Saccharomyces cerevisiae S288C: one gene and its partner. The protein of the gene in region 2 purifies or fractionates together with the protein of the main gene of each other region. This does not show direct contact. Each region holds a gene or a part of one and is shown on either strand. Other genes may lie near its edges. The genes, in order: TDA10 and PTC3.

Region 1 (3,463 bases), on a different chromosome or scaffold from region 2:
CGTACCAAGGGCATAATAAGTCCCTTGTTGGTTGTAGCGCTGGTAACTTAAATTCAGGCATCTGAAACCTAGTCACTGTTTCTTGTGGAAAATCCTTACCATATTTGTTGTAGAGGGGAATACGCCGTAGGAGTTCTTCAACATTATTGTTCATTTTTTTATGCGATAAGCTCCCATTGCTATTTTCCTTTCCTTTTTAATCTTAATTAATAGCAGTAATTTTTCCAAAACCGCTTAAATCTCGGACAGCCTCTGAACGGTATTTGTATAAGAAGGACAATAAAAGCTCTATAAAAGTTTTATGATGGATATGTAACAGATAAACAATTTTTTTTGCATACGACAATTATTCAAGAGTTGCCTTGTCAAAATTCTGAACCAAAAATACATGAAATCATTATAAAATTATCTGTTAGTACATAAAATAGAAGGGAAAAGTGAGATAAATTAAAAAAAAAAAAAAAAAAAAAAAAGGCGTAAAAAAAAAGGTCATAACATCACTATTCAATACATCTCGTTTTCGTAGAATATACATTCCTGTTGGAGTCGATTCCTAACGTCAATGTAGCAATGGAACCTAAACTTTCACTCCGGACAAAGTCGTTCAAATAAAGTTTATAGGAGGGCATGTATCTATCCACAAAAGCATGCACTTGTTCGTCGGTCATCCCCTTTCCGACCTTTGATATTAGTTCATGCTCCTGTTGTAGTCTCCAGCCATAAACATTGTTAATGTTATCGGTGGTGAATACTATCCCTAAAGATTTGATTTCTGGGTTGCGCCACAACAAGTCGCTATAGAAGAAGAGCTTGGCATTGACATCAACCATGTCCCCAGTAAGAAGATCATTATTCTCAATTCCTTGCAAAATGGGGTTGAACCCGAGGAACCAACCTTCTAAGATAAAAATATCGACTGGTAGCTTGATTTTTTGACCAGTGGGGCAACGGTCCCCTTCTCCTTTAAATTGGGATTTATCGTACTTGGGTAGTACGACAGTATCTTGATCCGGATGTTCATTATTATTGAAGATGGTGTTCAATACCTCTTGCAACAATTTCATATCATGAGTACCTGGTAAACCACGTCCTTGTAACAGCTTATTGTTCTTGAATTGCTCATTGAGTTTCAATTGGTCCTCGTGAGTTAAATAAAAATCATCAATTGAGGCGTAACCGATAGATTTTTCACCCCCATATTTTTCCATCAAATGGTTATAGATTTGGATACTTGTAAAACTTTTGCCTGAGCCTTGTGGGCCCGAGAAGAAAATGAACAAGGGGCATTTATTTCCCGTCTCAAACCATTCAGGTATATATTTATCCAAGAATTCTATCGTGTAGTCCAATACCGTTTTTGACTTATCACACATTTCTAGCTTTACTACTTTTTATATTATTCACTTCAGAGATGCAATGGAACGCTTTTTCCTTTGTGTCTTATGTATATCTTCGTTATTTTATTTCGTTCCGCCCAAATATTGTGCTAGCCAGTGTTCGCTTGTCTTGGTATAGTATCATTTAGATTGCTAAAAGTTTCATACATTTATTGTTCTCATTAATGCGTCTCCCCGCTTCGTTTGGTAATTAGGTTTTCTCCTCCTTAACGGAATCGGAAATTTTCGACGTTAAGGAACTGGGGTTAAATTAAAGGAAAAAGGGTCGCGGAACGTTAAATCCCCTGTGTAAAAAAAACTATAAATCATTATTAGTCCCAATAGTGTTCGTATTATCGTTATTATTATTATACATCCATACTTTAAAAAAACTTTTGCATTTGTCTTTATTAAATTCTATATAATTAAGTTGTCTTAGAACAGGCCATCGATCTCACCGTCATCATCGACTTCCACGGCCATGTAACCAGCATAGGTAGCCAAACCAGGAATGGTTTGTATTTCGGCGGCAAGAGCGTATAAGTATCCAGCACCATTAGACAATCTGACGTCTCTGATGGGGAAAGTGAACCCGGTTGGAACACCTTTCAAAGTTGCATCGTGGGATAAAGAGTATTGTGTCTTGGCGATACAAATTGGCAAGTTACCGAAACCTTGTTCCTTGTACATGTCAATCTTGCGTTGTGCTTCAGGCAAGATATCGATTGCGGCACCACCGTACATCTTTTGAACGATAGTAGTTAATTTGTCTTCAACGGAGGAGTTAACGTCATATAGGAAATGGAAGTCCACTGGTTGGTTGGAAGCTTCGATGACGGCCTTGGCCAAGTCGATAGCACCTTTACCACCTTCGGCCCAATGGTTAGAGGTTACGGCTTCAAATGCACCAGCTTCCAAAGCGGCTTTTCTAATGGCGGCTATTTCACCTTCAGTGTCAGTTTCAAACTTGTTAATTGCGACAACGACGGGGACGCCAAATTGCTTAATGTTGGCAATTTGTTTACACATGTTAGCGGCACCTTTTTCGACAAACTCGATATTCTCTTCAGTGTATGCGGAAGGTAAAGGTTGGCCAGGTTTGACATCTGGAGCACCACCGTGTGACTTCAATGCCCTAACAGTAGCAACCAAGACCACAGCATTAGGTGTCAATCCAGAGGAACGGCACTTGATGTTGAAGAATCTTTCACCACCCATAGTGAAATCGAACCCTGCTTCAGTAACCACATAACCAGCTTCTGTTTTTGCCTCTGGCTCGGTACCAACCAATTTCAAAGCCACGCGATCAGCAATAACAGAAGAGGCACCGATAGAGATGTTGGCAAATGGGCCGGCATGGACCAAGACAGGAGTACCTTCTAAAGTTTGCATCAAGTTGGGCTTGATAGCGTCTCTTAATAAAGCGGTTAAGGCACCGGTACAACCCACATCTTCAACAGTGACTGGAGACCTGTTTACGTCAGCAGCAACAACGACTCTTCCAATACGTTCCTTCATGTCCCTCAAGTCCTTTGAAAGAGCAAGAATAGCCATCAATTCAGAAGCAACGGTGATATCGAATCCAGTAACTCTTGTGTGGTTCTTCTCGGTAGGGGCTTGACCAATGGTGATTTGTCTTAACATTCTGTCGTTGATATCGACCACCCTCTTGATAGTAATAGTGTCCGGGTCAATGTTCAATCTGGCGAATTTGTTGATCTCTTCGGGTGTTAGATCATCGGGGTTGGTCTTTTGAATACCCAGTCTGTTCAATCTTCTTTGCATGGAGGGAGTAAACTTTCTCTTTCCGTTCTTTCTAGGCACTAGTCTGTTGTAGAAGGTAGCGTCGTTCTTTTGAGTGGTCTCATGGAACATTCTAGTGTCAATAGCGGCAGCAAGTAGGTTGTTAGCCGCACCAATGGCGTGAATGTCACCAGTCAAATGTAAGTTGAATTCGTCCATTGGGATGACTTGGGAATAACCACCACCCGCAGCACCACCTTTGACACCTAAAGTGGGTCCTAGGGAGGGTTGTCTGACGTTCGCAATGGCTGGCTTGCCCAAGTGAGCCGTTAGTGCCTGGACAA
Region 2 (3,762 bases):
AATGAGCCTTGTAATATGGAACAAGTAGCAATTGTCGTATCGGAAGTCAAGGACGTGGATCTGGCTACTTTGATAGATACCACGTGGAAGACGACCTGTAAGATATTTGGAGAGTAACATCTATTGGTGCAAAGAGCAAAGTTACATTATTTTTAGTAAGTACACTAATTATGCTTAAACTATTAATAGGAAAATTATGGTGCGCATATACATACAGTCGATATTGCTTTCATTTTTTTTTTTTTTTTTTTTCTATTTTTTTCATCAAAAAGGATTCAAAGGTTACCAACAAAATAAAAACAGAGTAAGGAAAAACAGATGTATCTATATGAATAGGATTTATAAATTCTGTTACAATTTATCATTCTCTCGTAATGATTTTTATGAATTTCACCATCTCCTCAATATGGGCCGCAAAGATGATCCAGTAAAAAACAATCCATCGGCAGAAGAGGAATAACAAATAAAGATAACAAAGTTTGACTACTCTTTCGTTGCAAAGTACGGTTCGACAATATTTATTATTCAATTTCTTCAATCTTGGAACCCTTCTTCGCATTTTCATTCTTGCCGTTTTCTTCGCCGTCGTTATCATCGTTATCATCAGCATCATTAGGTTCTGTTTCTCCTGCAGCCGCATTGCTTAAAGATGCCAACATATCTGATAAAGAAGCACCATGGAAATAAGAAGTGTTGCCGTCACTGTCGGAGCTGGGCCTCTGCCTTATTTGAATCCCGGCTTCTAATAGAGCCTCCAACGAAAACAAGTCAATAGGGCCAGTTCTATCCTCACCTGATAACTTTGAGGGAGTAGCACTGCTGCCTAATTCGGTATCAAGATCATCAATTTCCATGTCGTCATTATCTTTACTACGATTCAAGCGGTCTTGTAATTTTTTGGTGGTTATTGCGAACACTTCGTTATCATCATCCGAAAAATCATGGAAATCAAAAATACTTTTCCTTCTTTGGACAAAAGACGTTTGGATATTGTAATTTTTTGATCTCATACGCTCAAACCATTGTGACTCAGATTCATTTTCCTTTAGTAAAGCAACAATGGAAATACTCATATTATCACAGCCAATTCCTGAGCCTTCAGTTGTGGGTGAACAACAAACATCTACGATTCTAGATGAAATGTCGCTCAACGTCATATTACCTTGACTTATACCGTAGTGAACCAAGTCAACACACTCTTGAGAAGTTAAACAATCCCAAATACCATCACATGCTAAAATAACAAATTCATCCTCATCATAATTCAAATTGTGACAAATGATATCAGGAACACATGTAACGACTTGCTCATGAGGTCCCAATTTTGTGTTAGATTTGAATTCAAAATCACCTATGGCTCTTGATAACGCTAAATTTCCATTAACACGGTCCATCTCAACAAAACCATCAGCAGCTACAATACGAGATTTTTCACTTAACAATGTGGGCTTATGATCAAATGACATTGCTTTACTATTACCACCAGTAGATAGAACTGTTCTACTATCACCGGAATTGGCGCAAATTAGTAGCTTTTTCAATTGAGATACCAATATCACAGTTGCTGTACAACCACTATGGTCATCTTTTAATTTTTCATCTTTCAACAACTCAACATCTGTAGCTAAAAAGGTATCTATTAAGCACTGCTCTAACATACCGCTCTTGAAGCTCTCCTGTTTTTTCAGTATAGATATCATTTTAGAGCCACAAAACTCCGCTACAGAAGAACCACCATGACCGTCAAATATACCATAAAATGCGAGATGTTCCTCGTCAGACTCAGCCAAAAGGTTCGGCTCAACAATATGGGCATCTTCCATGGACATACGCCAGCCTTGCATGGCACATAGTCCAAACGCTGTCAAACAGTCCGTACCAGAATGATGCTCTTTGTCGATAATTGGATTGGACAATATTTGACCCATGTTATCTCTCTCTTTCTTCGATTTGTCTTCTTGGCCTTCTTCGTCTGCCTATAATAGAAACTTCAAAAAGTAAAATGAATATAGTCTAAAAACAGAAAGGGGCCTTCCGGTGGCAACAATCGAGCCAACAAGCTCTAAACACCTTTTACTCCTTTGAGTTTATTCTCTTGAGGGACAACCCATGTTGTTTTTTCTTCAACTCGCTGATATCACGCCTGACGAAAATAATGTTTAAAGGTTATTACTACTCTTCTAGAAGCTCTTAAGCATAAGAGCTAATTGTTTCTTGCTATATTACTTGTTGACAGCGGAGTAACATGATAACGTCTTTTTAATGGAAAAGATGACAGTTTCTTCGAATTACACCATAGCTTTATGGGCTACTTTCACCGCAATCTCCTTTGCCGTGGGTTACCAGTTGGGTACGTCGAACGCATCATCAACTAAGAAATCCTCAGCTACTTTACTGCGTTCTAAAGAAATGAAGGAAGGAAAGCTACACAATGACACTGATGAGGAGGAAAGTGAAAGCGAAGATGAGAGCGATGAGGACGAAGATATTGAGTCCACTTCATTGAATGATATACCTGGAGAAGTTAGGATGGCATTGGTGATTCGTCAAGATCTTGGCATGACAAAGGGCAAAATAGCGGCACAATGCTGTCACGCAGCATTGTCATGTTTTAGACATATTGCTACAAACCCCGCGCGTGCTTCATACAACCCAATTATGACACAAAGATGGCTAAATGCTGGACAGGCTAAAATAACGTTGAAATGTCCAGATAAGTTTACAATGGACGAGTTGTATGCGAAGGCTATATCACTTGGGGTGAATGCAGCAGTTATTCATGATGCTGGTAGAACACAGATTGCTGCGGGAAGTGCCACCGTATTGGGTTTAGGACCTGCTCCAAAAGCAGTATTGGATCAAATAACAGGTGATTTGAAATTGTATTGAGGTACAAATGATATATACTACGGGTATAGATATACGTGCATTTATATATTAAGTTGAAGTCTTTTCCCGTTTCTGTTTTTGTATATTTATGCTCATGCCCATCTTTGCACGACAACGGAGTTCAGCAGATCAGCGTCCTTCAATGTTGTCTCATCGTTGCTTATTGGTTTGATAGGAAAGGCATAATTCAAGGTGAAATTCCTCGATGGGTCAGTGTTCGCATTTGATGTCACATGCTCATACAAAAACTTTACTGTATCTGTGGAATTGCAGTGCAAAACTTCTCTTTTGCCATTTGCGTATCTAATTTGGATGGAGGTGTCGCCTTGTTTTGGCTCATTGTCCGGCATGGGTTGTTCCTGAGCAGCGGGTGTCTCATTCTTTGGAACCTCCGCAGGTGACGATTCACCCGGGATAGGAGATCCTAGTCTTTGGCCCTGGCCTGAAAAACCGCCCAGTTTTCTCGTCGGAGCTTTATAAGACTCATCTAATTTTTTATATACATTAACTTCAACTTCTTGTCCAAATTGCACATCTAAGAGCTTTAATGGAGCCCTCCCTTGATTTAACTCGCTCAAATAGAAACTGTTCGCAGGATCATCATAGCGATAAAGCGGACCATCGGCCACTTGAAAACCTTCCTTCCAAAATGTAATTTCTCTTGTGACTTTTTCTGGTCTACGTTGTGATTGTGAAGTGTTGTCTTCTACGACTTCATCTGCTGCGTCGATGGTTGACCCTAATCTAAAACCTCTTCCAGTAAACCTATTGGCACCCATTTCATGGTCTTCGTCATCACGGAATCCGTTTTCAGCGCCCATTTGACCACCCCTTCTCGCTTTTTCCAGCAAATCCTTCAGTAATGAATTAGGA

The links.
Region 1: the proteins of PTC3 (region 2) and TDA10 purify together in Saccharomyces cerevisiae (affinity purification with mass spectrometry, with the first as the bait; 2 studies listed by BioGRID). This does not show direct contact.

Annotation. Positions count from the first base shown.
Region 1 is NC_001139.9:907,123-910,585, reverse strand, and holds TDA10 (putative ATP-dependent kinase), read right to left. Parts: upstream 1,374-3,463; coding exon 501-1,373; downstream 1-500. Other genes in the region: ubiquitin-binding ESCRT-I subunit protein MVB12, read right to left, coding at 1-154; YGR204C-A (uncharacterized protein), read left to right, coding at 1,412-1,525; trifunctional formate-tetrahydrofolate ligase/methenyltetrahydrofolate cyclohydrolase/methylenetetrahydrofolate dehydrogenase ADE3, read right to left, coding at 1,812-3,463. UniProt on the Saccharomyces cerevisiae protein: ATP-dependent kinase whose specificity is not yet known.
Region 2 is NC_001134.8:111,928-115,689, reverse strand, and holds PTC3 (type 2C protein phosphatase PTC3), read right to left. Parts: upstream 1,929-3,762; coding exon 522-1,928; downstream 1-521. Other genes in the region: YBL055C (3'-5'-exodeoxyribonuclease), read left to right, coding at 1-117; PTH2 (aminoacyl-tRNA hydrolase), read left to right, coding at 2,263-2,889; protein phosphatase regulator SHP1, read right to left, coding at 2,982-3,762.